5 linked regions of the Cricetulus griseus genome follow. The protein of the gene in region 3 interacts with the protein of the main gene of each other region in a pairwise test. Links are inferred from orthologs where the notes say so. Each region holds a gene or a part of one and is shown on either strand. Other genes may lie near its edges. The genes, in order: Suv39h2, Map2k3, ras association domain-containing protein 1, Stk4 and Akt1.

Evidence for each region.
Region 1: the proteins of ras association domain-containing protein 1 (region 3) and Suv39h2 interact in a two-hybrid assay, tested with the Homo sapiens proteins (2 studies listed by BioGRID and IntAct). The link is inferred for Cricetulus griseus from reciprocal best matches to the Homo sapiens genes RASSF1 and SUV39H2.
Region 2: the proteins of ras association domain-containing protein 1 (region 3) and Map2k3 come close enough for resonance energy transfer, tested with the Homo sapiens proteins (2 studies listed by BioGRID). The link is inferred for Cricetulus griseus from reciprocal best matches to the Homo sapiens genes RASSF1 and MAP2K3.
Region 4: the proteins of ras association domain-containing protein 1 (region 3) and Stk4 interact in binary tests that used the Homo sapiens proteins (3 or more experiments, as listed by UniProt). The link is inferred for Cricetulus griseus from reciprocal best matches to the Homo sapiens genes RASSF1 and STK4.
Region 5: the proteins of ras association domain-containing protein 1 (region 3) and Akt1 interact in a protein complementation assay, tested with the Homo sapiens proteins (2 studies listed by BioGRID and IntAct, with this or other methods). The link is inferred for Cricetulus griseus from reciprocal best matches to the Homo sapiens genes RASSF1 and AKT1.

Annotation. Positions count from the first base shown.
Region 1 is NC_048596.1:220,773,988-220,780,479, forward strand, and holds the start of Suv39h2 (histone-lysine N-methyltransferase SUV39H2), read right to left. Parts: upstream 4,300-6,492; 5' UTR 4,174-4,299; coding exon 4,143-4,173; intron 1,864-4,142; coding exon 1,718-1,863; intron 1-1,717. UniProt on the Homo sapiens protein: Histone methyltransferase that specifically trimethylates 'Lys-9' of histone H3 using monomethylated H3 'Lys-9' as substrate.
Region 2 is NC_048600.1:74,936,665-74,941,243, forward strand, and holds part of Map2k3 (dual specificity mitogen-activated protein kinase kinase 3), read left to right. Parts: intron 1-2,883; coding exon 2,884-3,023; intron 3,024-3,936; coding exon 3,937-3,982; intron 3,983-4,547; coding exon 4,548-4,579. UniProt on the Homo sapiens protein: Dual specificity kinase. Is activated by cytokines and environmental stress in vivo. Catalyzes the concomitant phosphorylation of a threonine and a tyrosine residue in the MAP kinase p38.
Region 3 is NC_048597.1:215,731,530-215,738,000, forward strand, and holds the start of ras association domain-containing protein 1, read left to right. Parts: upstream 1-2,531; 5' UTR 2,532-2,567; coding exon 2,568-2,817; intron 2,818-3,962; exon of another isoform or gene 3,963-4,719; coding exon 4,720-4,826; intron 4,827-4,926; exon of another isoform or gene 4,927-5,149; intron 5,150-5,303; exon of another isoform or gene 5,304-5,412; coding exon of another isoform or gene 5,413-5,559; intron 5,560-6,471. Other genes in the region: Zmynd10 (zinc finger MYND domain-containing protein 10), read left to right, coding at 39-176, 276-364, 462-562, 843-1,015, 1,249-1,374, 1,457-1,578, 1,699-1,824, 1,916-1,991. UniProt on the Homo sapiens protein: Potential tumor suppressor. Required for death receptor-dependent apoptosis. Mediates activation of STK3/MST2 and STK4/MST1 during Fas-induced apoptosis by preventing their dephosphorylation.
Region 4 is NC_048599.1:15,427,853-15,433,578, reverse strand, and holds part of Stk4 (serine/threonine-protein kinase 4), read left to right. Parts: intron 1-2,439; coding exon 2,440-2,554; intron 2,555-5,726. UniProt on the Homo sapiens protein: Stress-activated, pro-apoptotic kinase which, following caspase-cleavage, enters the nucleus and induces chromatin condensation followed by internucleosomal DNA fragmentation.
Region 5 is NC_048598.1:181,379,439-181,385,891, reverse strand, and holds the start of Akt1 (RAC-alpha serine/threonine-protein kinase), read right to left. Parts: upstream 3,595-6,453; 5' UTR 3,480-3,594; intron 453-3,479; 5' UTR 363-452; coding exon 317-362; intron 1-316. UniProt on the Homo sapiens protein: AKT1 is one of 3 closely related serine/threonine-protein kinases (AKT1, AKT2 and AKT3) called the AKT kinase, and which regulate many processes including metabolism, proliferation, cell survival, growth and angiogenesis.

The sequences.
Region 1 (6,492 bases), on a different chromosome or scaffold from region 3:
AACTGGAAAATATAGTTTAATAGCACTGAAGAGGCTACAGCATGATGGCTGTGAGTTCAAGGCCAGCCTGCGACTAAACTGAAAGCCAGCTCCTGTCTAAATTAATTAAAAGGAAGCTACAAGTTCAGGCAAAGACAGGGAAAAAACGGTGACACCTTTGAAAGACTAAAGACAGATAACTAGTGGTGAACGTATATTGAATGCTAAAGGATTATATTCATAGAGGCAGAAGGCCGGAGTCTTCAGCTGAATGTGAGAAAGGGGAGAGAAAAAGGTCCAAAATAGTAATAAATATTAGGAAAACCACTGCTATGAATAAGAAAAAAAAAAAAGCAACAGGTTAAAATCTTGTTAAGTAGAACTAAGCAATATGAGAATGTAGAAATTGGGTTTATTTGGGTTTTTGCTGGTGTGTCCTGTGTTGTGTCCTGTTTCCCGTCCCATGTCCGTCTGCCCCCTCCCACCCCCAGGGTGGAGAGATTGTTGGGACTTTATGCATGCAGAGTAAATACTCTGCCGTTGACCTGTAGTTCCCTTTAACAGCCTTTTTAGAAATAAATTATAAAGAGTCTAAGTTGCCCAGGATGGGCTTGAACTTGTTGTGAGTCTCCTATTTAGCTGTGCAACCAGGCACAGTTTAAAAGTATGTTTTAGGGCTGGAGAGATGGCTCAGAGGTTAAGAGCACTGACTACTCTTCCAGAGGTCCTGAGTTCAATTCCCAGCAACCACATGGTGGTTCACAACCATCCATTATGAGATCTGGTGCCCTCTTCCAGTGTGCAGATATACATGGAAACAGAATGTTGTATACATAATAAATAAAATCTTTAAAAAAAGTATGTTTTAATAGAGCTAATGCATATGTTCAGATGATATTCTCAGCTAGGCTGATCAGTTTAGGGTGCTGGGAGTGTTGGTTGAGAGGCTAGACTAAGATTTCTGCAGGGGAAGACAATGCTACCACAGGAAAACAGGCATTCAAAAGAAGAAATGGACTTACTGAAAGGCTCAGCAAAGATGGGGGAAAAATTACATTAAATAGGATTCTTGATTGTTTATCTGCAAGAACTGAGATTAATGGCCAGTTCTCAGAGGAAGCTACAAGTAAATGAATTACAAAAAAATACAATTACAGGCTTTAGATCAAAGAGCTTCTTAGAACAACTCATTTTAAGATTAATGAAGGGAAGCACAAAGCAATTAAGTTAGTTTGCTGAAGTTGTAAGATATGAAACAAAGGTTTGAAATGACCATGACAGCCAACCATTTTATCATGCCATAACTTATAACACAGAGTTTGGCAGGAAATATAAATTGTGATGCTTCTGGAGGACATTCACTAATTCTACAGTTGGCTTGTAACCTCAGGTTCCTTCCAGGTGATTATGGGAAATATGATCCAGGAACAACATGAATTACAGTGAAAGTCAATCTGACATAAAACATTTGCTCTGGAAATCCATATGGAGATAGATAATCAAGAGTTGGATGTAGGATGATATAAATACCCTAAATATTCTAATGCAAGAGCACTTTATACTTCATAATCCCTCAGTGTTATTCAACAAAAATGATGACAATGCACAAAAGTCTATGACTTACAACCTTAAACAGAAAGAAGAGCTTTGTTTATTCTTAAGTCTATTTTTATGCTAGAGAAACATGAAATACTGCAGTGTGAATAGGTCTCTTTCAAGGGGCTAGATATTGCCTTACCTTTACTACCTTGTAGTCACACAAGTACTCCACCTCATAATTGTTTAGATTCCTTTTGGTGATTCCAATCGATTTACATGTGAGCTTTTCTTTTCTACATAATTCCTGAAGAGTATCAAGTGAAACTAGGCAAGGCACACACCAGGCTACAATAAGAAAATAGAATTCTTTACTAATAAAATAGCTACTAGGATGAAACAAAAACTTAAAAACTTCCCAACTGACAATTTTATAGTAAGAAACGAACATGACAAGAAGCCAATTATGTGTGTTTGAGAAAAAAGTTACGTGATAAAGATCTACTTTTGATGAATTGAACTTCTATCCTATTGTTCTATTGGCAAAGGCTAATTCTTGCTTGGCCACTTAAAATATTTCATGTCTAAGTTTACTTAAGATTACTATAAATGCAAAAATGAAAAGAGCTAAATTTTTTTTACTGTTCCATTATATTCTACACAGAATGTAACTGTTCTCTTAATAAACAGCTAAGACATATTATTAGAAATGTATCTAAAATATATTCTAAAACAATCACAATTTAAAAGTAACCTTTGCTTCTTTTAATCACACAGTAAGATTTTAAATCTGAAATATAGTTCTGTAGTTAAATCCATATCCTACTTTGCCCATTTCAGGAATACCACAAGTCTCATTTATTTTGCCCATGGTGAAATGTATTATCAACATGCATAAAATAGAAACATCTACTTTTCTATTTTATATTGTATATTGGGCTTTATAATGCCATTTCCTGGACTGTTTAAAGCCAGCAAGCAGTTACAAAACAGAAAACTCAAAGTAAATTATCCATAAACAAGAAAGTCAGACATACTAACAATAACCTTACACAGGCCAGAAATGAACTGTGTTCCATCCCAAATTTAAAATATAACTGCACAAATGATGTCTAGAAAATGTAAAACTTCACTGTACGTCTAATAGGGGAATCTAATACTAGATGATCAAAAGCCCTCCACCCTACTTGTTGGTGGGCCACCTAGCTACACAACTTTAGGAAGGGCTCAAGCTTTCTGGGTATCACATTCACTGAAAAAAAAAAAAAGAAAAGAAAAGAAAAGAAAAGAAAAAGTGAGAGTGGTGAAAAGAAGTGACCAAACAAAATGTATCATTAGTTCATCATGCTGTATTTAATAGTTCTTCAAGGTAGTAGGCAAACGTTTTGAGGTAGATTTCAGGGACAGGAGAACCTGACTGTTTTAACTTCCCCACATCCCTTCATCATCCTCCCCCGTTAGGACTTCATTAAAGGAAATTGTTAAGCATCATTTCCCCACTCCAATCAATGGAAAAGACTCGTATTTCTGGCACTCGTAAAAGGCAAAGTCTTTTCCTCAAATTTGCCAAAATACATTGTTTAGGTGTGGTGGTTTGGGGGTAGGACAGGTATAAAAACCGTCTTCTTAATCGCTTCCATCCAAAAATCTTAAGGCTGTTTTGTGTAAGGCTAATCTCCTTATGTTAATCATCTGTAAAGGAGAGACCTGTTGGTTATTATGTACCCAAGGTGTTTGTTTTAAATTTTTTACTCCTAGTTGAGAATCCAAAAACACAACCCTATAGCGGAGAGTGGTGTTGAATTCGGTAACACACGTATTCGAATGAAAATGTCATAATGACGACCATTATGTGTAAGTACGACGCATCTCTCAACAGAAATGCTACATTTTGAGCATTTCGGGATTTTTTTTTTCTTTTTTAATCTGCAAACCCTTGGTTTACAAAATTCCACAGCCTATAATGATGGAGAAAAAAAAGTTTCATTGTCCGGATTAGTTTATGACATCCCGCTTATAAAATCCTTCCACCACACCCCACCCCCGCAACACCTCAAGGAAGTCGAGTGACGGGGATAATAAAGTGTCACCATCTGAGTGGAGCAGAGGAAAAAGCTAGCTGGAGAACAACCTTTTTTTTTTTTTTTCACTCCAGAATGCTTTACTTTCAACACACACGCCGCCCCCCCGCACACCCACATAAATAACCCACAAGTTCCAGCCGGGCCCCCCCAAAGTTTCCAGGAGCTCAGGGCTGTGTGTGCAGACATCTACTTTCGAGGGGAGACACTTCGCAGCGGTGCCAGGCCGGCTCGTACGCGGGCAGCGCACCTCAGCCCGGCTCCCACCGCGCGAAGGTGGCGACCGCTAGGGCAGCGGCGCGCGTGCTTCCCGGCTCACCCTTCAGAGAGGCGGGGCGCGCACACTCGCCACCGAGGACCCGGGCCCGCGGGACTTTCGGAACCACGCTCGCACGGAGCCGGCGCGTCCCGGGCCCGTAGCCCGCCGCCAGCGTACGGCGCTCGGGGTGTCCGCTCGGCGGCGTCCCGCCCACATCGCCGCCGTCCGGCTGGGCTCGGGCCTCGGGAACGGCCCTGGCGGCCGGTGACACCGCTCTCCAGTCTCACCTCTCGGTGCCTCGGCTCCGGCCGCCGCCATCTTGCGGAGCTTTCATTCAAACTGGCGCGGTCAGCCCGAAGAGCTCAGCTGGCCAGACGCCCCGCCCCGGCCCGCGAGGGACTCCAGAGATGGGAGGCTGGAAGCAGTGTGGCGTCCTGACGTCAGTGGAGGTTGACCCCAGCCGTAGTAGCCACTGCGCATGCGCGGCACGTTGGGGGGGGCACAAAGGGGCGGGGTCACAACTAGCTCCTGCCGACAGGCCCCGCCCCTCCTGGTATGGTCCTCGCTTTGACTCTAAAGGCTGCATGCCAGGATTCCCTCCCTGTTCGGTGCTCTGAGTCTCGTCCCAAAGGCATGGCACGCACGTTATAAGATGCAAAATGTGCTGTGTGGGTTAGAGTGCACAGATAGCTACTTTCCTACTCTTGTTCCTTAGCGCTTGAACCCAAGCAAGCTTTTCCTTTCACTCCCCGCCTCTGCAGAGCAGGATCTCAAAATTGGATGCAGGTGGCCTCACTTTGGATCTAAGTGGTCTGTTTGGATCACACAAGGAGAGTCTGCTGAGTTGATATGGCCGTGCAGCAGCTGGATCCAAAGGAAGGCGCTGAGAGTTGTCAAAATAAAACCAACCCAGCCAACAGCTGAGCTTAATTAAAGCAAACTTACAAGGTACATTTACAACTAGGACTTACTTTATCCTCCTTAACAGCTTTAAGCTTTGCTCAGTTTTTAGCCATTTACACTCAGGGAGAATTGGGCCACTTATCATTTTCACACCATTGTGAATCTTGAAAGTTGTAAGGGAACCATTATACACAAAAGCCTTCTGTAATTCCATTGGTAAGTCACGTCAGTGCTAATAGCAAACGCACACTGCCTGTCTCCTCTCTATTTTCATTGCTATTACTGTTATCCACACCATCATTTCTCAGTCAAAGAAGTCTAACTGCTTTGACCTCTGCTATTGCTCCCCTTGTAGCCACTTCCCATGGAGCTAAAGTAGCTTTAAAACATAAAGTGAAACATAACCCTTCTCCAACTTTAAGTACTTCACCGCATAGCACATCTTCCGGTGCCTATGAGACCACCAGTGATTAGAAGTCTGTTTTTCTCACTTGCTTTGAACCATTCTCCCTTTTGCCCACTATGTTCTATGGCTTTTCAAATTTTCATATACTCAACTATTATACTTACACAATTCAAATACAACACACACAATTCAAATATAATAGGCATATTCAAAAATATTTTCATGTGTATCTCCTATGTGCCAGGCACCTGCTAAACAAGAAAGGAAACAGTGTCCTCTTGGAGTCTTTTTGGGGACAGGGCTCAAACTTGCTTTGTATGTGGGAATCACCTTGACTTCCTGGTCTTGCTTCCACCTTGGTGTGCTGGGGCCACAGGTGTGAGCCGACACTCCCTGCTCTAAATAAACACTTTAACCTGGAAATCGCTGTCTAGCCCAAAGGGCAAACTCTCCTCCGTTTCATGTGGCTATCTTCTTATTAGCTAGGTTTTAACTCAAATGTTACTTCTTCTGAGAGGCCTCTAAAGGCACTCTGTCTCTATCCCTGCTTTAAAAGCATTTATCAAAATTTGTGTCTGTAGAATTGAAAGAATATTTTTAGTCTTACTAGGTTTTAATAAGACTTTAAAAAAGGAAGTTGGGGGCAGAGGATAGCTGGGCAGAAAAGTGCTTTTCTGATATATCCAGGGCTTAGGGTTTGATCACAACACTGAGATTTTTTTTTGTTTGTTTGTATTTTGAGTTGGGTTTTTGCTGTGTTAACAGCCCTGGCTGTTCTGGAACTCACTCTATAGACCAGGCCGGTCTCGAACTCACAAGGATTGGCCTGCCTTTGCCTCATGAGTCCTGGGATTAAAGGCGCATGCCACTATTGCCTGGCTTGAAAATTTTTTTTATAAGTTACAATTTTATAAATTAAGTGTTTGCTTTGTTTATCTCATCAGGAATCCCATCAGTTTGGAGGCATAGAGTAGACAGAGTAGACCCAGCCATTTCAGCAGCCATCAGTGTCTATATCTATTCTAGCACATCAATTCTCAGAGTATGGAAGAGTGGATCTGAGACCCTTCCAGAAATCCATGAGCACAAAGCTGCAGTCTTACACTGTGTTACAACTTTGTATCCTGGTAAACCAGCTCTACAAGTGTTCTGTGATGTTTACACAATAGCCAGCCACAAAACACAATTCTCAGACATGTCCTTGTCACAAAATGGCACCAAGGAAGCCTTGTATTTGCCCTCTTCGTTTTTTCTCATTGGTGTACTGGAGTTTTCCAGAATTCATAGAACTGGTATCATATACTGACAGAGGAAAACATATATCAAAA
Region 2 (4,579 bases), on a different chromosome or scaffold from region 3:
CTTGCTGGTCCAGTGGGGTGGAGTGTGTCTGTGTTGGGGTCTATGGGCGCCAAGTAGTTTAAATCCAAGAAAAAGAGTTGGTTTCAGTGTTCAAGAAAAAAAAAAAAAAAAGCATCGTCAAACATTCCTTTTTGGGTGAGAGGACATTTGGGAGTTACAAGACCTCTTTCCTGATGGTTCCATTTAACCATCATGAATGTTCTCTGTATTCTGTGATGTCAGCCTTTCCCCTATAGCCATTGGTGTAGAGCAAGAAATCCCAGCTGATGCTAAGTATAGTTCTTGCCATGCAAGTGATTTCCAAATCAAGAAGTTAAACTGTTAGCTGGGCACAATGGCACCCTCCTGTGCTATGGTAGCACCCTTTTGTAATGTGATACTTTGGAAGGCAGAGGCAAAAGGATCAGGGAGTTCAAGGTTATCCTCAACTTCATAGTGAATTTGAGGGACACTGTCTCAATACCCTTCCCAACACTCAAAAAAAAAAAAAAAAAAAAAAGATTGAGGGTTTTTTTTTTTTTTTCTTCCACACCAGGAACCTGTTGCTGTAGGCTCCTGTTGTATTTGTCTATGCTTAGGCTCTGTAGGGTGAGGCTCTGGATCCTGGCCCTGTGAAGGCTGAAAGGATCCTTGGCTTGGAGGGAGGGCCAGGGGCCAGGCTATGAGGATTGAGTTGTACAGATAAATCTAAGTCCAGGGTGTAGGGACGGACCTCTGCCTTCTTGAACTGCCTCACAGAAAGTTTTAATTCACCTATTGATGTGATAAAACACAATAACCAAAAGCACCCTGGGGAGGAAAGGGTTTATTTTGACTTACCCCTCTCAGATCACACCCCTTCACTGAGGGAAGTCAGGAGCATAGCACAGTAGAAGCCATGGAGGATGCTTATCGGCTTGCTACTCCTGGCTTGCTGGCTCTGTTTTGTTACATCACCTAGGACCACCAGCCCAGAGGCTGAGCTGAATACCTGCAGTGAGCTGGGGCCTCCCATATCAATCATCAATCAAGAAAATGCTCAAGCTTGCTTACAGGCTTTTCTTAATTGAGGTTCCCTCTTCCCAAATGATTCTAGCTTGTGTGGAGTTGACATAAAACTAGCCAGCACAATGTTACAATGAAGTTGAATTCTTTGAAGATGGGCACTTTTCTACTGCACCTGTGTATGAAAGTGCCCTGGTACCTTAATTCTTGATATAGCAAGAACAATGTATCTTTAGTTGCAATGACCTTTAACAAAAAGAGACATTCTGACCACCAGGGGTCAGTTACCAAAACATGCTGCCCATTTTCTTGGTTACCGCATGTCTAGTTGTTTTGAGACTCTTCCCATGGTTGATTGCAGGACTTTCAGGTAGGACATTTTTGTTGTTGTTGTTTGTTTGTTTTTGAGACAGGGTTTCTTTGTGTAGCTTTGTAGACCAGGCTGCCCTCCATCCGCCCGCCTCTTCCTCCCAAGTGCTGGGATTAAAGGCGTGTGCCACCACCGCCTGGTGACATTTTGTTATTTTTACGGAGGCTTTATCTTGAAGGCTGGACCAAGGTTTTACAATAGCTTTTCAGGCTGCAGAAACAGGAGCAAGGCTTAGGCTGTCTTCTAGATTTTCTAAACCTATTCCTCCAGGTCCACCATTCATATTTGTCTTTGGCCCAACATTTCCACTTAAAACGCTGCCATCCCAGTGAGCAGTCACATAGTATTCCCCTTGGTGGGCTTTGGCCTCGGGAGCTCTGGGCACACACATTTTCTGTCTCAGAACACAAGGGGTTACCCTCACATACACAGGTCACACTCAGGACGGTTCTCAGCCAGGAAGGAATGTTGTCCAAGTGCTGATCTGAGTGGGGTCACCATTTCCATGGCTCTCCCAGATATTCAGCTGTTATAGGGGGGCTAGCTCCCGAGGCTGGTCAGTCTTTTTGTAAATAAGTTCCTGTGATAGATGCCTTATGAATCTTTGTTGCTGAGGCAGTTTTTATTTATCATTTTCTAAGCTTTTTAGAAAAAAAGATCATCAGAAAAGATGGTTGAGGCCCAGGCCCTGGTACTTTTGGTTAGGTATATGGGTGCCACTGAGCTTTCTCTTTCATAGTCTGCAGAGAGGACCCACCGTAGATTCTGGAAATGCTGTGGCAATACTGAATCTGCATGGTTCTGTCCTCTGGACAGGCACACAGGCTGACACACACTCTCCTCCCACCATGCTGTTCTCATGCTGGCTGGAAAGGCCTGGGGACTGACAGGAAAGCCCCTTCCGAGCTTGTTTTTAGTGCTCTAACTAGTGCCAGTTGCGTTCTTTTGAATGGTGTCTCTTCTATTCCTTATGGTGGTTACAGCCTGCCATACCAGTGAGGAGGTATCCATGCAGGAGAGTCTGACTCTGTTGTCCCCACTAGTAAAAGCAACAGCCAGATAGGTGGCCCTGACTACTAAAGTCTGTGGTAGGGAGGTATTGGAGAGCGAGTAGCCGGGGCCACTAGGGACTAGGACTTGACACAGTGAGGTACTCTGCTGACTGCTGCCTTGTGGGAAGGTATCTGTGGCTGCCACTCCTCATGTTTGGCACAATATCTGGAACCCAAGTTGTTAGATGAAAATCTTCCAGTTTTAGATTGTTTGAAAAGACAGTGGTGATCAAACCTAGTCTAGCCTAGGGCTAGACTTAGTCTGAGCTAGCTCTGCTAACCTGGTCAGAGGACCTTCATACCGGCATCCCAGTAGTTGGCCTACTGCTAGGTGTGAGGGCAGTCAGTGACAGCACCACTGGCCTGGTCTTGGGTGCTGGGGAAGGATGGCTGGGTTCCTTCCACTTTGTGCTTCTGGGTACAAAGTTTGGGTCATCTGATGTCTGTAGCCTGCTGACTCTGCTTTCCCTATTGCAGATCGAGATGGCCATTCTGCGATTCCCTTATGAATCTTGGGGGACACCGTTCCAGCAGCTGAAGCAGGTGGTGGAGGAACCATCCCCACAGCTCCCAGCTGACAAGTTCTCCCCTGAGTTTGTGGACTTCACCAGCCAGTGGTAAGTGTCTGGGTCTTGTCCTTTCCTCCTGCATCATGTAAACCCTTGAGCTACATGGTATCAAAAGGTAGGAAGTAGTGACAGCGCCAGTATGGACAAAACCCTGAGTCCCAGTGGGAGGTTTTAGTTTAGATTTCCCTGAAAAGGATATATCAAGTAGACTCAAAGAAGGAATAGTGTGTGTGTGTGTGATAATATATATTATGGAAGACTAAAATACATAATAAAGTCTGCTTTTATTGGTGCCTAGAAGTGTTTTTTTTTTTTAACCAAATTACAGAATGTTCATGGAAGCTTTATAAAAATCGTTTTTAAAGTTATAAAAGAATAAAAAAAAAGCAATTATACAGACTGTGTTCTCTAACCATAACTAAATAACCACATAGAAAGTAAAAGTAGACTCTTGTAAATAACTCTGGGGTTATAAAAGAGATTTAGAAAATACATTTTTAAGAAGAAACACACACCAATCAATGTTTGTATGTTGTGGGTCAAGAGGTGCTCAGAGAACAAAACAAAGCCTCTCAATAGAAAATGAGACAAACAAAGCAGATGAGGCCAGTAGCAAGATTCATTGATTAGTTTCTGATTGGACCTTCATGCTCCAGAACCATTGATTGAAGTCTTCCCTTCTGATAAAGGATAATCTAGAATGTGATCGTTAGGCAGAGTGTTTCAGGGTTGGTGTCATGGACATAGTCTGGATCAGTATGGAGACAACTGGACTCCAAGAGGCAGGGAAAGTTGCTACAAGACTAGTTTGCACCCATGGACCCCAAACCACTTTTTGAGACCCCCAGACAGTCTCGTTCCTTCTCTGAGCCCCAGGAGTATGTTGCTTAATGGGCGCAAGCCCAGCCTGTCTAGATTTGCTTTCTCCGTGTGAGTCTGGCTTCACTGCCCTCTTTCCTAGCCTAAGGAAGAACCCTGCGGAGCGCATGAGCTACCTGGAGCTGATGGTGAGTATACATGGGAAGTGCCTGCCCTGCCCCCTGTGCTGTGTAGTGGCTGGGTGGAGCTGTCTGGAAGAGGGTTGCATCGAGGGTGGAGGGGTAGCTCTTCTTGCCTAGTTCCTGCACACACTTCTATAGTTTCACCTTTGTTCATACACTCAACCCAGGCCATGTGGAAAGATGCACAGTGCTGTGACAGTAGGGCAGAGGAGTCACTGTGGCATCAGAGAAAGCTTCTTAGAGGAGATGCCATTTGAACTGAGCCTGGAAGGATGGATATTGGCTTTTTGCTGATGAAGGACGGGTAGAGGATCTGGTAGAACAGAGGTCTGGTTCCCTTGAGAAGAGATGTTTGTATGGTGGGGGACTACTGCAGGAGGGTGAGACAGCGCCTCAAGATCTGATAGTTTTGGAGGGCTTCTAGGGGTAGTGGTCCTAGAAGGACCAGCAGGAAGTTGGCCAGGCAGGAGAACCATTCTGGGGTGGATAAGGCTTTGGGGGAGGGACTTCCCCTTTATACCTGCTCCTGTACCCCTCACCCCCAGAAATTGGTGCCTCTGTTTCCTACCAGGAACACCCTTTCTTCACCTTGCACAAAACTAA
Region 3 (6,471 bases):
ATACCGAAAACTGAAATATCCCCTTCCTGAACGCCCAGGAGGTGTGTGAGTCAGCAGATGACAAGGTCTTGGACCTAGTGGACTATTGCCACCGCAAGCTGATACTGCTGGTGGCCCGGACTGGCTGTGGTGACCCATATGAGGAAGAACGGTCCCAGGACAGTACCCCTATGCAAGTAAGTTAAGGTTTCCTGGAGTTGGTAAAACCTCAAAGGGAGTCCTCGCAGGCCTCCACAGGCAGGGGCGGATACTGTGTGCCTGTGCCCCCACCACAGGAGCTGCAGAAACAGGCTGAGATGATGGAATTTGAGATCTCACTGAAGGCCCTCTCGGTACTTCGCTACATCACAGACTGCGTGGATAGGTGGGCCACCCACCAGGGCCTGGGGCAAACAATAAAGGGCTGCCCCACTTGGCCTGTAGCTTCTGCTGACCCTACCCCTTCTCCCGCCTCCCTCTAGCCTCTCCCCGAGTACCTTGAACCGCATGCTCAGAACTCACAACTTGCCCTGCCTCCTGGTGGAGCTGCTGGAGCACAGTCCCTGGTGCCGGCGGGAAGGAGGTAAGGCCTTCCCCCACCTGCCTAAGACCTAACTGGCTGCTTCCAGAACATCCTTCAGGGTTAATGGAAGTGGACAGCCGCACAGTGCGAACATTGAGGATACCAAGGTGGTCTGGATTTTTGACTCTGAAGCAGACAAGTCCCGTGGACTCACCTTGTTTGACAAGTCTGGCCGCCCAGGCTTCCTGTTCTCAACCCTCCAATCCACACACTCAAAGAGAATGCAATGCCTGCGTCCAGTGAGCTGGTTCTCCTGCCTTCTCCCCCACCCCACCCCCAGGCAAACTGCAGCAATTTGAGAATGGCCGCTGGCAGACAGTGCCCCCCTCAGAGCAGCAAAGGCTAAATAAGCTGGATGGGCAAGTGTGGATCACCCTGTATAACCTACTGCTCAGCCCTGAGGCCCAAGCCCGATACTGCCTTACAAGCTTTGTTAAGGGACAGCTTCTTAAGGTGAGGAGCTCAATGGCTCTACCCATCCCCCACTGCCACCACCACTACCCTGCCTCACCCCCATTGTATCCCTGCCTGTCCCTGTCCTCTTTCCACAACTTGGACTTCTTGTGACATGGGAACTGGTGAGACATAAACCTTCCAAGTACACCCAACCCAACTTGGGGACTCCCTGTCTCTTGACCCTCTGGCCAGGACTTGTTTCCCAATGGCCTTCCCCGGATGCCTTGCAGCTTCAGGCCTTCCTCACGGATACACTTCTTGACCAGCTGCCCAACCTTGCGGACCTGAAGGGTTTCCTGGCCCACCTGGCCCTGGCTGAAACCCAGCCCCCTAAGAAGGACCTGGTGTTGGAACAGGTAGGCACCTCGAAGGTTAGTTGCTCGGGACCATGATCCGCTTTGCCAGTTCCTTCCTCTCCTCTCTATTACATTCTCTTAGATCCCGGAAATCTGGAATCAGCTAGAGCGAGAGAACAAAGGCAAATGGCAGGCTATTGCCAAGCACCAGCTGCAGCATGTATTCAGCCCCTCAGAGAAGGACCTTCGCCGGCAGGCCCAGAGGTAAGGTGTGCTGCGTGGCTCAAGACGGGTGCATAGGACATAGAAGGCATGGCCATGGCGGGAGGGAGTGCGTCTGTGCCCCTACCTGTCATAGTCAGATCTTCTTGGCCCCTCCCCCAGGTGGGCTGAAACCTACAGGCTGGATGTCCTAGAGGCAATAGCTCCAGAGAGACCCCACTGTGCTTACTGCCAAGCAGAGGCCTCCAAGCGCTGCTCCAGATGCCAGAGTGTGTGGTATTGCTGCAGGTAAGGGACCCCCGAACCTTAATCCCCCTAAGTTCCAACCCTGAGTCCTCCCACAAGCACTGTCATCCTCACGCTGCCCACACCCCTGCAGGGATTGCCAAGTCAAGCACTGGGAGAAGCACGGAAAGACATGTGTTCTAGCAGCCCAAGGTGACAGAGCCAAGTGAAGGCTGCAGCTTCTGACGGCCAGAATGTGACTCTGAGACTCGGTAGTTCTGCCTGGCTCCTGTCAGACCTCAATTTCTCTGGTGGTGAGCACAGCTGAGCCAAGTAGCGCTGCAAACCACCACCACCCGACAAACACACAAGCAAAGGCTCTTCGCTTCCTGCCCCACCCCACGAATATGTAAAGAAGAGAACCAGGCCTCAGCATCAGCAAACTGGCAGACAGGGTTGGGGGACGTACGAAAGGGCCGGATGTGCAGACCCTTTTCCTTTATCACAGTAAAGGGGACACGAAACTCATCAGTGTGGAGCTTTGCAGTCGTCGTTGGGGGCTGGGGAGGGGAGCTGGGGCAAGGACTGAAGGAAAGCCTGGGAAGGGGCTCTTGGAAAGCGCCCGCCCCTGTGCCCCGCCCCGCCCACAAGTGCACACTGTGGCCTCTCCTCGGTTTCCATTGCGTTCTCCTCCTCTCTTTCCCGCCGCCCTGCCTTGATCCTGGGGGCGGTGCCGAAGTGGCGGCCCCGCCCTGCGGCCTCGCCCGCTAGCGCCCAGTCCGCTAGAGTCCCGGCCTGACCGGGCCATGTCGGCAGAGCCAGAGCTCATTGAGCTACGGGAGCTGGCACCGTCTGGGCGCATCGGCCCCGGCCGGACCCGGCTGGAGCGTGCCAACGCTCTGCGCATCGCGCCGTGCACAGCACGCAATCCCTCGCAGCAGCACGTCCCGGGGCGCGGCCACCGCTTCCAGCCTGCGGGTCCCGCCACGCACACGTGGTGCGACCTCTGTGGAGACTTCATCTGGGGCGTCGTGCGCAAGGGCCTACAGTGCGCGCGTGAGTAGCAGCCCCACACAGCCGGCGATCACGGAACGGGAGGTCAAAGGCAGGAGCACCATGGCTGCGGGTCAAGTGGCAGCGGAGGGGGTCAGCAGCGATGATCCTGCAGACCAGGTCCCGTTACCTTGCCCCATCAGGGAGCGTGTTTGAGAAAGTGGTTTATCACGGTGTCACACTTCGTCCGTGCCTGGCGCACAGGTGGGCACAGGCAGATGTCTGTAAATAACAAGGTGCTGGTTCCAAGCTCTTTAAAGCGCCAGAACCCTTGAAAAGTCTTTGTGCCTACTGTGCCCTGTGCCTATATTCCCAGGTCCTCCTCTTCCAAAGGATTGGCACTGTGTTCCCCTCCAGATTCTTGGGTGACTTCACCCACATATGACAGGGGGCCAGAAAAAGTTACCTTGGTTGGGCTCCTTGTAAGTAGGAACCTTGTTGAGTCTTTTAGTCGAGGTTTGAGTCAGTGATCCAGAGGCTAAAACATGAACACAACCACACGCATAGTGGTCCTTCTGACCTGGGGATTAGCCGCAAACGGAAGTTAGACTCACCCGGGATACTTTATACCCTCCCATCGCCTTATGTCTAGACCTCTCAGGCTTCTTGAGTCCATTATTGAAAGTGGACCTTAGGTATCGAGGGCTTTGTTGTCGTTCCCTTTTGTTGTTGTTGTTTTGAGACAGGGTCTCACTATGCAGCCCTGGCTGGCCTGCAACTCTCTATTCAGACCAGGGTGAAACAGAGGTCCACCTGCCTCTGCTTCCCAAATTCCCATGTGTAGATGGAGCTGAGAATCAGCGCTTCGAGCCATATGGGAACTTAAGGGTGGGCTGTAGGCCTGTGCATGCCTAGAGCTCATTCATTCACTACCCGAGTATGTCACAGGTTCAGCTAGTGAAGAACAGTCATTTGTGACAGAATACCACATAGAAGCCTGGGCTGTGATACTGCAACATTTTCAGATAGAAACAAAGTTGCTCTGGAGGTGAGAAACCAGACAGTTTGGATGTCTGACAAGAGGTTGGTAAGGGAATCAAGAATGTGTAGGGTTTTGCTTCAAATAACTAGATGGACAGTGGTAACTTTTGCTGAGATAGGAACCCAGGGGTGAGTGGCAGTGGAAGAAAAGTGAAATTTTGGTGATGTACGTTTGAAATCTTTATTAGGCATTAAAGTGAAGGCACTACATGTAGGATTTGTCCTAAAGAGGCAAATCAGGTCCGCCTTGGATCTGGATCAGGTGAGTGTAGACAGAGCTGGGACAGTATCCAGATGAGGAACCTGGACATCAATTATTAGACCTGGGAGTCGGAACTGATGAAGGGGCTAGCAAGGAGCTACAGAGAAGCGACAAGAAACAGCTAGTGAGTGCTGTCCCTGGGAGTCAAAGGGAGCAAGCAACACAGATTTAGGACGGAACGACCCTGCTAACGTATACAGAGGGCAAAACATTAGATGTGTGCTTTGGGGATTGGCACACATCTGTAATCTTGGCACTTGGAGCAGTTGGAGGCAGGAGGATCTCCCGACTTCAAGGTTACCATTTGAGGTTAACCTGAACTACATGAGACCCTTTCTCAGAAAACAAAATAGGCTTGTGTAAACAAGTGAAGAGGCAGATGACAAATAGAGGAAGTCGTAAATTAAACACTTTTGTTTTCAAGTTAATGGCAAAGTGAAGTAGTAGCTCTGCGGTAGATAGGCAAACACAAGTGTTGAGCAGGGTAACAGCCTGAGGCCTTCCAGGCAGTTTCCAAACGTGCTTCCAGCATCTGTGTAGCAGTGGGCGGCAACCGCGTTTGAGAAAAAGCCAGTGGAGCCCAAATCTGTCGGGCAGAGGCTCCCTCAGTCTGTGGGTCACTTGGCCAAGCTCCTCCGCCTCACCGTCAGCCCTTTCTGCAGACTGCAAGTTCACCTGCCATTACCGTTGTCGTGCGCTCGTCTGCCTGGACTGCTGCGGGCCCCGAGACCTGGGCTGGGATCCCGCACTGGAAAGGGACACGAACGTGGTGAGCTCGGGGTCGGGGTGGGGGGAGTGTGGGCGGGGAGGGGACCTGGGGCTCGTCAGCCCTCCCTCAGGGGAGGTACCAGGCGCCGCACACAACGAACCTCCCAATTACCGATTTCCCGGCATCAGGGAGTCCACTTCTGCTTGTGGGTCTGTCAGGAGCTGACTCCACGCAAACACCACGGCCCACAAGCCATTGGCCGCGAAGTCGCGCCCTGGCACGCTACACGCGCACTTCTCACACCCCGCTTCCGGCCCTGAGGCAACGGCGGTGCACATGCGCGCGCGCACAGACACTTCCCTCCCTCTGGGAGGCGGGGCCGAGTGGAGATGCCTCAGAGATGAGGTCATTCCTCGGGGTGTAGCGTTGTGTCCCCGCCCCTCGCCCCTCCCACCATCGCCCCCCCCGCCGTACCATCAGCTCCAGATTCTGGTTGTCTAGCCCTAACGGTCACCGCGCGTTGCAGGCCTCTGCGCAAGCGCGTACAGACACGCTCACACGCACGCACGCACGCACGCACGCGCGCGCCCGGGGCGGTGGTTGGAGGCTCCGCACGCAGTGGACCAGGGATCGGGCGGGCAAGGCGATGGGTGAGGCTGAGACGCCTTCCTTCGAAATGACCTGGAGCAGCACGACCAGCAGTGGCTACTGCAGCCAGGAGGACTCGGACTCGGAGCTCGAGCAGTACTTCACGGCGCGGACCTCGCTGGTCCGCAGGCCCCGCCGGGACCAGGTGGGAGCCGCCCCGGGGCGGAGGGGGGTGCGGCCGGCCGGCCAGCCGGCGGGTGAGGGGCGGCCGCTCGAGCCCCGCCCGCCCCTGCCCGCCTCTCCGTGAGCCTCCCGGCGGGGCCACACGGAAACGGCCCCGGGAAATGTGTGTAGGGCTCTGCTCCTGGTTAAGCCGGGGTCCAGCGCGCTGGAACTGAGTACCCGGGCTTCCCTGGCTTGCGGTCACAGACCGGTTGAGCCAGGGCAAGCAGCTGCGAAGCTTGGGTGGACCCCAGGCGGGCGTTATTCACCCATGACTAAAGCCAGCCTCAGCCCAAACCCGCATCTTGATTTCGCATTTGGGCGCTCCTACTCCCTCCCTGGGGGAAATAAGGAAGTGGAGGAGGAGTCCGCCGGGAAGTGAGAAGTTTGTTTGGGAGGGGACCCTGTCCCTTCCATTTTCAGTCTTGGATCAGCCAGTAAAGTCCCCAGCCATTGCTGGGCCAACTCTGACACCAGATGCTGGGATGTAGACAATTTTCCGATCTTCCTTAACTTTGCTGGGGGGGGGTGCATAGTCAGATAGATGATCTTTGCCTTGGACTTTAAGCATTAGGAGCGGGAAGACTAACTGTAAAGTGTACTACCAGGGCAGCTGAATCTCTCTTAGAGTCTCCTAGATGTGCCACATTATCAGAGACTTTTCTGGGACTGTCGTGGTTGTGACCACCACCCTCAGATAATTTATTCTTGAACCTGAATACCTCAAAAGAGCACAGAGGCTGGGGCATCGGGAGAGTGAGGTGGAGACCGAAGGTTAGTAAACTTAGCAGCAGCGAAGTAGAATTCCTTATTTGAGCCAAAAAAAAAAAAAAAAATGGAGTTGTCTGTGGTGGTGGTGTAGGTGAGATTTTGCTACAGATTTTTTTATAGATGG
Region 4 (5,726 bases), on a different chromosome or scaffold from region 3:
TATGATTTTTGTTTTTACTCAAACTTCAATTTACTTTACTCAAACTCTTTTACTTGGCAAATTGGGACTATATATAAACAGTATGGAAATGCTTCTAACTGAAGTGTTTTTTGTTTTTTTTTTAAAGATTTATTTTTTACCTTTTTTTTTTTGGTTTTCTAAGACAGGGTTCCGCTATAGCTTTGGAGCTTGTCCTGGAACTTGCTCTGTAGACCAGGCTGGTATCAAACTCACAGAGTTTGTCTCTGTCTCCTGAGTGCTGGGATTAAAGGGGTGCACCGCCACCATCTGGCTATTTTTACTTTTTTATGTGTATGCCTGCATGTATGCATATATGTGGACCACATGTGCCTGAAGACTGTGGAGGCCAGAAGATAGTGTCAGATCCCCTGGAAATGGAGTTATAGACAGTTGTGAGCTGTCATGTGGGTGCTGGAATCCAAACCTAAGAGTATCATGTGCTAAGAATTGACATTTTGAAGATCCTTCTGGGTTAAGCCTTCTAAGAAAAAAAGAAAGACATGGCAGAGTCCTTGTGTTCTGAGAGTTTTGTTTGTTTGCTTCTTTGATGTATTTTTGTGTCACTGTCTTTTGAGTAAGGGGAGGGTTTCGGGGACATTTGCCTGGTTTATTAAAGCAGCTGGAGAGAATATCAGTGATTTTTCTCCAATTTTTGGGAGTTCATGGGCCAGGCTTGTATAGTTCAGGAAATCTAGCTGACAGTACAAGACTGCATAGAACATATTCCAACAGTGTGTTTGCACAATAGAGAAAGTGACTACAGGAGGCGAGGGAAGAGAGCACACGGGATTATTGTGAGCTGTATTGCTTGCACTAATGTTCATTTTATGTGCTGTGTTTTCCTTCTGTCCTTGTCACTGGTATATGTCCCGAGAATGAAGGGGCATTTGAAATGGAAAGTCCAGGAGGTCAGTGTAGTTTTAATATCTTTGGTTGCTAGGCAACCTGGTTTCCAACAGCAGTCCAGTTGTTAATGCAACAAATTGTTAAACAGAGTTTTCATTTTACTGGGGTGCTTGACTTCTCAGATATTTCTTATTTGGTGTCTCCAAATTTAAGGCCTAAAGTTCCAGTTTTGATAATAAACATTTTTCTCTTTATATTATATAGTGATGATTTTGTTACTCCCAATTATACTATGACTTTTTAGAAAAAAGAAAAAGAGATTGCTTTTCATTTTGGTAAAATCATCATCATTATATATCTCTTGGTATATCTTTCCATGTCTCTGTGGGGATTTAACTGTGATTGTTTTATAGCTTACCCTTCTCTCTCTTGTAAATAGGATGAGCGAGTGCACACAGACACACACACACACAGATACACACACACACAGACACACACACACACACACACACACACACACACACAGACACACACACACAGACACACACACACACACAGACACACACACACACACACACACACACACACACACTCTTTTTGTGTATGGGTGTTTTGTCACATGTATGTCTGTGTACCACTTGAATGCCTGGTGCGTGAGGATAGAAGAGGGCATCAGATCTCCTAGAACTGGAGTTACAGACAGTGGGAGTGCTGGAGACTGAACCCCAGGTCCTCTGGAAGATCAGGAAGTGCTCTTCACAGCTAAGCCAAGTCTCCTGTCCCAGGATATATTAAGTTATTTATTAAACATTCCTCTAACATGTTCCATGGACTTGTGGTGCTGTTATTTAAGTTCCCTCATTTTGGATGGTCATTAAAATTGTATCTAATTTCTCTTTTACCATGTCAGTAGCTAATATTTTGAGACTCTGTGATTTTTTTTTTTTTTTTTTTTGGGGTGGGGGGTTTCGAGACAGGGTTTCTCTGTGTAGCTTTGGAGCCTGTCCTGGAACTCACTCTGTAGACCAGGCTGGCCTCGAACTTACAGAGATCCGCCTGTCTCTGCCTCCCGAGTGCTGGGATTAAAGGTGTGCACCACCAACGCCCAGCTTGTGATTATTTTTTGAGGATAAATTATACACTTAATACTGTTTTCTTGTTTTGAATTTATGTTATTACTCTTAGGAAAATTGATTCCATTTCATGTTTTTATCAGGAGATTGCTTGTGTTAGTTCTACCTAGAAATAATTCATTTTTTTTTTTATAAACATTTCTAACCTTTTTTAAAAAGATTTTATTTATTTATTATGTATACAACATTCTGCTTCCGTGTATATCTGCACACCGGAAGAGGCCATCAGATCTCATAATGGATGGTTGTGAGCCACCATGTGGTTGCTGGGAATTGAACTCAGGACCTCTGGAAGAGCAGTCAGTGCTCTTAACCGCTGAGCCATCTCTCCAGTCCAATTCATTTTCTTTTGAGATGAGAAGTTACTTTCCATCATTGAACAGAATGAATTGAAATGTTTGAAGGGTGTTCTACTAATTTGTATTGTGTTTCTCTCCAGCCCTCATGTAGTCAAATATTATGGCAGCTACTTTAAGAACACAGACCTGTGGATCGTTATGGAGTACTGTGGGGCTGGCTCTGTGTCGGATATCATTCGGTTACGAAACAAGACGGTAAGTGTACCTCCTAGTAGGTGCTGCTGGCCTGGTCTTTTTGTCATTTTTTTTTCCTCAGGCCTTTTATTCACATGCTGCTGCTACACGTAGAGAATTCCTCCTTTTCCTTGGGTCTCTGGTCTTTTTACTTACCTCCCTCCCATCTCAAAGACAGACTCTCAGTATGCTCTTTTACTTTTGGTCCTTCTGTTCCAGCCCAAGTGCTAGGATCACAGGCTGTGTTACCCTCCCCATCCCAAACCTGAGGGATAGAATCACAGGGTGTCTTACCCCTACCAAGCCCAAGTGCTGGGACCACAGGGGTGTGGCACCATGCTCAATTCTCTCTTAAATGTGACAATTTGTTATTGACTCATTCCAGTGATTTTTGTTTACTTTTTATTATCAAATCATGGTTTGGGGATGAATTTTCACTTTTTTGAGACGGGATTTCATGGTGAAGAGTAACCTGGAACTGACAGTGTAGTCCAGGCTGGCTATGAACTCACACTCCTCTTATGTCATTCTCCTTACCATGCCTGGCTATTCTAGAATGACTTTTAAAAGTCCTTGTTTTTTAAAAGTTATGTGTTTGAGTAGGTTTGTGTATGTGAATATAGGCACCCATAGAGGTTGGGTCTTGCCTACCCTGCTGCTGGAGTTACAGGCGATTATGAGCCCCACAGTGTGGGTGGTGGAAATCAAGTCTTCAGGAAGAGCAGAATGTTCTCTTAATTGCTGAGTCATCTCTCTCTACCTCTAGAATGAGTTTTAAACGTTTACTTTTGAATTTGTCTTCCTATCAAGTTAGCCACAGAGTGGTTTTCTTCTACTTGCTGTTGAACAGGGAATAAGCCTATTATAAAAGAGTATTTGTTATGCCTGAGGTTGTAGGGTCAGACCTAAGAGTCATGGATTATAGTTTTCAGTTGCAGAATACTGCTGTAGGCTTTAGGGATCCAGTAGGAAGTAAAAGAGACCACAACATATGGTGATTGGCGCTCTTATGGCAGCACACCTTCTAGTAGGGAAGTAAAAGCCAGCAGGTGGCAGTTAGAGAGGAAATGCAAGGTAACAAGAAACACTCTGGAGACAATTAGTAAGGGCAGTGATAGGAATGTGGTCAAGAATCTTGGAAGGCAGAGCAGCATGAGCAGCATCTCCTGAAGGGACACTGAGGCAGGAACCAGCCAGTGTGAAGAAGACTCGGAGACTGCAGTGTGTTCGGTACGTTTGGTGTTAGAAGTGCAGCCAGACAAAGGGAACTTGAGGAGGTCTGTCTTGAGTTAGACAGGTGGGCAGGCTTGATGGCTTTGGGTCTTGTAGGTCAGGGTACTGTGGCTAAGTGTTATTCCAGGTACAGAAGGAACATGTCTAGATTCTAAGAAAGTAAGTGAGTCATCTGACATGCAATTTGAAAAACAACTCTAGTTTCTGTGTAGATTGTGGAATGGGAAATTTTAGCTCTTGGGTGGTTTCGTTTTTAATGTAAGAATGGGAATGGGCATCCCCATATTAAGTATTTGCAATGTTGTAAAAATTATCTTAAGTATGCAAAAGTATACTATAAATTATGAAGTATTACATAAGTTATAAGATGGGACTGTTTTGAAACTCAAGTTATAAATTTTGTGTCATATCATTGTTTCCTTTTCTTAATTTATGTTATTGAGAATTTGTACGTTTTCTTTATTAGACAGTAGCAAGTTCTTTAGCCAAGAGTAGTGTTCTAACATAATATATATTTATAATATATATAATATATATATATATATATATATATATATATATATGTAATATATATAGTACCAAATGGTCAGCCCTGAAAACATGTATACAAGTAACATTATACATATGGAAGAGGTTATATTTATGCATTAGGAATATTTATATATATGTGTGTGTGTGTGTGTGTGTGTGTGTGTGTGTGTGTGTGTATAACATATATGAATGTAACAACAATGAAAAAAGAGGCCATGAATTTGAGAGAGAGCAAAGACTGGGAAGCTTTGGAGAGGAAAAGAAGGGAGGAGATGATATAATTATAAGCTCAAAAATGAAATAAATAATTTAAGAGAAGTCAAAACCTTGACTAATTTGTTGATTTAAAATTGAAGCTGCAGGCTTTGTGTGCAGCACCAAGTTCTTTCTGCCCCTTCATCAGTCCAGAATTAACTATATTGGTGATTTCTGTACCTATTGATATCTTAATACTAGTTTATTAGTTTATATACTTAATTATTTTGCTCTATGTTAAAAACTATTTAGTGTGACAGCCTCTAGCTGCAGGGGGCTAGAATACTGTTTAAATTTGAAGAAATATGACCACAGAAAGATATAAAAACTTTAAATATTTATCATGATAGAACCTGTCTCAAAAAAATGATCCTGGTAGAACGACGATAATGGTGTTAAGTGAGGTTGCTGTCTCTGATGTGTGTCTGTTCTGAGGTGGATCTTAGCTTCTGATGTTTTCTAAGTGCTATCCACATGGGGTGGGGAAACCAGAAAAGAGCCCATGAGAGGGGGAAAAGTTTACTTTAAGCAGAAAATTACTGTATAATTAAATCTAAGTAGATGTTAGCTGTATTTAAAAGCTAAAGAAGTCATGATGGATTGGGTTAAGGTCTGACCACCTGTAGAGATTTTAAATTCCTGATTATGTTCTTTTAGGAATTGCTGTTCACGCTCACTTATAGGCACATCTCCTTTTTAGAGTGTTAATGGTGCTACTGAGGTGGCCCTCTGGTTGTCTGCATTTCTAATGTTGAACTGCTTCCATTGGGTTTCAGTTTTATTCTCGTTTTTTGATGCTTTCCTTCATAATTAGCTCTCATTATGCAAATTTAAATCGTAGAATAAAAGTAAAAGAAAGTAATGCCAGAAGGACAAGCTGGGTCTTGCCCATCCTGGATCCTTTTGTCCACAGCTTACTCCTGAATGTGTGTTGTTTGCTATGCTGGGAGTTAAGTGAGAGCTGGATGGATTTTGTACAGGATTTGGGTGTGATCTGCAGAGTCATCCTGTGGTCTGATGTGAAGCCCCGGGTCCAGCACACAGTCACTCTAGCCCATTGGTTCTCAACTTTCCTAAAGCTGCAACCCTTTAATACAGCCCCTCACATTGTGGTGACCCCCAGCCATAAAATTATCCCATTGCTACTTCATAACTGTAATTTCGCTACTGTTAT
Region 5 (6,453 bases), on a different chromosome or scaffold from region 3:
CCCCACCCCCAAGCCGGCAAAGCAGGCCCTGCACAGGGCCTCAGCCTCTGGCCAAGAGGCCCCAGGAGGAGGCCATGACCTCCATACTATGGGAAAAGCTGGGCCTGCACACTCCTCCTGTAGCAGGCCTAGAGCCCCAAGGTGGGGAGGTGCGGCTCCTGTCCAGCCGGCCTGGACACAACAAGCACTCTTTGATATGGCCTCAAAGCAGCCTACTAGGGCAGTACAGCCGTCTCCCTCCACACACCCAGTTCCACACCCAGTGGTTGGGCAGACCCAGGCCCAGCTCTACGTCTCCCACAGAGCAGGGACTGACCTCGTTTGTGCAGCCAGCCCTCCTTCACAATGGCTACGTCGTTCATGGTATCCGTGGCCCCCAGAGACCGGGGTAACCCAGGGATGCTCAGTGTATCTTCTCAGCAGGCTGAGCCCAGCCGGCCTGGCCGCAGCGTCTAGAAAAAGCCAAGAAGGTATGTGAGGAAAGGCCCTGCTTGGGGTCTCAGCTTTCATGAGCCCCGGCCACAATTACCCACGTCCCTTTATGCGATCTACCCCTTTCTGGTTCCCAGGTTCCCTCCTCACCCTTACTCTGCCAGCCTGCCTGACTTCTCTCGAAACACAGCAGTATAAGATCCATCTCCAGTAGATGCTGTGCCCAGATCCGGGCCTGGTAGTCTGGGATGCAAGGCTGCGGCCAACCCGAACCTCCCTGGCCTCTGCTGGGACACACTCCACGCCCAGACCTTTCCTGAGAGGCAGCTGCTGAGTTTGCTACCCTAGCAAACAGTCCACCTCCTCCAGGCAGCACTGCTGGCTTCTGCTGGGCCCCACACTAGTGAGGGGTGCTCGTTCACTGTCCTTGTCCCTGCGTTCTCACCACCCCTACAGCCAAGGATGCCTAATGCAGAATGCAGGGCTCCTGCCTGCTCGGACTAGGAACACAGGAGTGTAGGCATTCAGAGGCACAGGTGGAGTAGGTAATGGATATAAAGCAAAGCCCAGAGTCTGAAGGGGAAACATTAAAAACCTCCCCAGGTGAAACCCCAGACCCTCTCAAACACAGCACCCTGCTCCCCTGAAGGTGTTTCATTCATTGGGCTAGCATGTACCAGGCGTCTATGGGTTTGCCAAACCTTCACTCTATATCAGGGACAAAGAGACTTCTAGGCAGCCCACAGTTACAGCATTCAGCCCACACAAGAGGCAGGCAACATACAAAAACCTAGGGTCCTGCAGTGACCCACCAGAGAGTCAGAGTCAAAGCACACTTTGCCAGTTCCCCCTGGCACTGCTTCTCTGCTGGAGGGACTCCTGGGCATCCCTCAAGGCCCTGTTCTCATGTCACCAAGTCTGGGAAAGTGCATTTGGACACTTTTTTTTTTCCCAGCAAGCCTATGCTGTCCCTCCACCTGGGGTTCCTGTGGACAGGCCCAGGAAAGACCAGAAGACCACTGTGGAATAGATCCCAACTTGGGTCTGTCTACTACAGCTGACCCAGACAACCCCCTAGGTCACCTCTCTAGACCAGAAGGCACAAGCTAGCACCCAGAGTCACTGTCACTTTGCCTTGTCTGGAGCTAAATGTGGAACAAAAGGAAGGCCCTGCTGTGTGCCAAATGCCAAATGCCAGAGGAGGAAAGACCACACTTGGCTTAAGAAGGAAAACATCCTACCCTTAGCAAGCAGGTGGCAATGGAAAGCCAGGATGAAAAAGATAAGCCAAGAAGGAACCCCAGATGATGGCTATCCAAGTGGGTGTGGCCTGGAGGTAGAGGGTTGGACTGGAAGACCTCTCTCTGGATGTACCCCCACCCCCACCCAGACCCGAGGTCTGCTGGTGACAGTCAGCTGTCCAGAGCCATGTAAAAATAAGTTCATATGCACAGCGATGTTAACCAGTGTCCACATCAATCAGCCCTGCGCATGGGACCTTCTTCCCTCCACGACCCTGGAGCGCCTTGCCATAAGAGCATATGGTTGCTATTGTTAAGTCTGAAGAGTTCAGCCCCTCTGGGACACTGGGCCCACACGCCCAGCTGGGGCCCCAAGGCGACTCGCCCTTCACTTGAGTGATGGCTCTAAGCAGTCAAGGCTAGCCACCTGGGGCAAGACCAGAGGCCTGGGGATGGGGGGCGGGGGGTGAAGGAGTTTGGCCACAGGGCAGAGCAAGGTTCGGCCACCACCTAACTTAGAAACCAGTCCTCTAGACAAATCCATCAGCTCGGCCAGTATCCGGGATCCCAAAGGTCGAGCCCACGCGTCCTCCAGGCCCCAGCACCTCCAGAAACCACCTACTCCAGGAAGCAGTTTCCGGGCCCAGGAGGGCTAGCAGTCCTTTGTGGGCTAGCCTGGGCACAGTGCCACCGCGCACAACTTTCTGTCCGTGGGAAATGAGTTCTCCTTCCCAGGGCCCTCCCACCACACGCAGGCCGCGGGGCGAGCCTTTCTCCTACCCTCGCTGGCCGAGTGCCCAGACAGCCCCAGGCCCCGGGGCGCACCGGCCCCCACTGCGCGCACGCCAGCAGCGCCCCTCTCCCGCGCGCGGCCTGGCCCCGCGGGGCGGCCACCCAAGGTCACGCGGCGGCCGCCCCGCACTCTCTCCGGCGTGGGCCTCCTGCGCGATCCGCCCGGCCCGCCGCGCGCTCAGGCCTCGCTCGGCCAACAGGCGGGCGCGGCCGGGAACAAAGCGGGGTGGCCGCGGCCCGGAACAGGGCGCGGCGCGGGCACTCACCCGGCCGCGCGCGTGCGGGCGACGGGGCCTAGCCGGCCGCGGCCTCGGGCGCCCGCCGCTCCGCATCCCGCGGGCGGGCGCTGGGCGGGGCCGGCTGGAGGCAGCGGCGGCCGGCGCGCGCGCTGCTGGCCGGGTCTAGGCCGCCGCGGTGCCGGCCGCCGGGCGCTGCTCGGTCCGCTCCGCCTGTCGGGACTCGCGTGCGCTGCCGCGCTGGGCCGCCGCCCGCCGCCCGCCGCCGCTTCGGTGCTGCCGCCCGCCGCCGCCGCCGCCGCCGGCCCGCCTTCTCCCCGCCCCGCGCCGCGCCGCCCCGCCCACATCCGCCTCCGCCGCCCCGGGCGCCCCCGGCGCGGCCGCGGCCAGGGCGAGGCGCCCCGTGAGCGCGAGCGCGGCCCCGCAGGCGCCGCCCTCGGGTGGCCCCGAGCCAGGGCCACGCGGGTAACGGAGCCCCGCCGCCGCAGATCCAGAGCCCGGGCCCTGGCCCAGGTTTCCCCGTCGCTGGACGACCGGGCACTTGTCGGTCCGGCTCTCCAGACCCCACGGGGCGGGCGTGCGGAGCGAGCGGATCGCTCTGACTTTCCCAAGAGGCCCAACTGTCCCCTTGTTGGGAGCCGGGCGAGCCGGGCCACCGGTGTCCTAAAGGCCACACACGCCACCCAGAAAGGAAGGCTGCTGGGGGCTCATTCAACCCGGGACTGTCGGCCAAGGAAACTGACGGGCACCCTGCGGTGACAGGGAGACGGGGACACACCTGGACATCCAGGGGGGCCAGTGTGCTGTTGGGGGCAGACCCCGGGGTAGAGCTCAAGTCAGCCAAGACCTCGCTGTGCACTCAGATGGGCGAGGCGCGGGAGGGGGGCGGGAGGACGGGGGGGGGCGGTTCCTTATGGTGTCCCGGAATTGGAGAGTCAAGGTGGCCTCTAACCCACCCTCTGCTCTCCCCCTTCAGCCTGCCCCAGCAGTTCCTGCCCCAGCAGAGCCCCTCCCTCGTCCCTGAGGCCCGAACTGATAATAACCCTTTTGTGAGTTTACCTCCAGGTCTTTGGTATTTTTTCCGAGGGGGCATTTTGTTGTTGTTGTTTTGTTTTGTTTTGTTTTTAATCCAAGGGTCAGAGTTCACCTGGAGTGTAAACAGGATAGATTTACTCCATGCTAGCGCTAGTCCAGAATGGAGTCGCTCCTTCTCTGCCTCGGGGACTGACTTATGAAGCGAACCCCTCGCCGGGAAAACTGTCCTCTCGGCGGGGGGCACAACTCCTGGGGCGGGAGCGGTGGGGGGTAGGGGGTCTGTTCTGCTTGTCTGCAGCACAGCTGCCCCAGCTCTGAGCACCTCCAGGGCGCTAAGCCCGGCGGGTCTGTGCTGCTCCAGCTGTATCCCTGACCTGAGGGTTTCCCTCGGAGACTGAGCAAATCCATCACTCACCCAGCAAACTTTCACCCCAGGCCCCCTGGTCCTCTTCCCCTGCTTCCCCAATCCCCGTGCTGGGCAGTGGGGAGTGGCCACTGCGAGCCAGCAGGGCGCCCTCTTGTGGAACACATGGCAATTGGAGACTGTTCTCCAAGGACTGACATCTTCTGGGTGCTCTTTCTGGAAGCCACTGTTGCAGCACTCCCACCTGTGATGAGCCGTTTCTAGGCAGTACCCGTCCCTACCTTCTTTGTGTCTCTATCTTCCCCGTGCCCAGGGTCTTCCTGCGGACGGAGGGCGCAAGGCCCTCTTCTGGGCCCACACTTTAGCCACACCCCTCTTGGGCCTCCTAGGCAGAGCCACAGACCAGAAGCGAGCCTTACCGCGACTTGCCAGTGATATGCTCTGCAGCCAGATGTCTCCAACAAAAACAGTGGCCCTGACCCCCTCCCCAGGCACAGAGGTGGTCTTCCCTGTCACCTCCTGCAGCTGGCAGTTGGGTAGGGACTCAAGTGCCTGAGCCCTGCGCTAAGAGGTCTGGGCATCGGCTGCAGGGTGGGACCCCAAAGCTGGAGAGGTTTGCTTGTACCCTGGACTGGGACTTTGACAGCCTCCTGTCATCTCTATGCCACAGACCACTGGCTGGTGGAGCAGGATCTTGGAGTGCCAAGGTTCTCACACAGATGATGGAGCGGCCGGGGCAATATGGGGTGACCCCGTGGGCCTGCCAGGTCCCGCAGGCAGAAGCTCGCTGTCTTTGTACTCAACTTCTCTGCCCTAAAAACCATGTAGGGCAAGCAAGGGGCCAGGATTTGGGGCACTGCTCAATGCCCAACGTGGAGGAAGAGGGACAAGGGGGCTGGTTGGTGTCACCAACATCCAGCCATCATTTTCTCAAAAACCATTCTGTGGCAGGCCAAGGATCCATCCATCGGTGTACACAGAAGCCCCCCGGCAAAGAAACAGGGGTGCACCTTGCCTGACAACCTTTGACTGCCTACACAGGGCTAAACAGGAATAGAGAAAGGGTTGCAGGTCAGGAGGGACTAGGGAGGACGACTTTAGCTAAAGGGTGACCAACCAGCACACAATCAGCAACGGATGAGGACTTTGAGAGGAAAGAACATTCCAGAACTAAAGGCCTATCACCTTATAGTATTTCACTCTCCAAAGTTAATTTTCATAGATCCTAGATTTCCATATTAATGGGGGTTATTAAGGCTATAGGACAGTGCCTGTCAACCTTCGGATCTCAAAAAGACTCATTTACAGGGGTCACCCAAGGCCATCAGAAAACAGATATTTATATTACAATTTATAATAGCAAAGCTGTGCAGTAGCCACAGAAATAATTTTATGGCTTGGGATCACCAAGACATGAACTGTATTAAAGGGTCTCAACATCAGGAAAGGTTGAGAACCCCATGATACGGGGTTCCTGCTGAGCCAGAGTAGGGGGTAGTCAAAGGAGGGAACTGGCCCTCCTCAGGCAAGGCTCCTAGGTTGGGGACAGCCGAGTTCTGCAGCCCCTCAGCTGTGCTGTGTCTGGGTTAATGTAGCGTGCCTCTAGGTTCCTTGGGGGCAGTTACCAGATTTAGGAAATAACTCATATAACCAGTCAAATTTGCATTTCAGATACACTTTTTTTTTCCAGGACAGGAAGTTGAAACAGGGCCTTGCCATGTAGCTCAGGCTGGTCTAGAACTCAAAATACCCCTGCTTCGGCCTCCGTTTAGTATAACGATGTGTTTTTTTTTTTTTTCCCTGTAGAATCTTGGCCCTCCAGGGACTCTGGCAGCCCCATCAGCTTTGAACAGGACCCTGGTGGTTCTCTCCAATGGCCAGGAGCCCCCACCTCATACCCAGGCACTCTGTTCTGCAAGTCTAAGGAGCAAGCCCCCTACACACAGAATGCCTTTGGCTATTCTACCCAAACACCTGACCTCTGCCCTGTCCACTGTAACCCAGCCCACTGGGGACACCCTGCTTGGGACAAGACCCCACTTGACTTCTATCATCCTGGGTGATGCCCACTCAACATTCTTGGTCCCTGGGCTTCTAGCAAATGCAAGGTGGGCCTAGTCCCATAGGAACCCTGGCCCTGCAATTTGGTACTATGTGAGTCCTCCCCCGCCCCAGATCCCTAAATGAGAGCACCTAATTGGCAGGCTTGTGAAGCTGGCCCGAGCAATGTCTCAAGTAACTTCAAACCCCCTCAGTCAATGATAGCCCTCCACATGCACCCTTGGGAGAGAAGCCTTCCCAAGGCATCCATCAGTGCACCCTCAAGCCCTCCAAACCCAGAGCTCTATTCTTG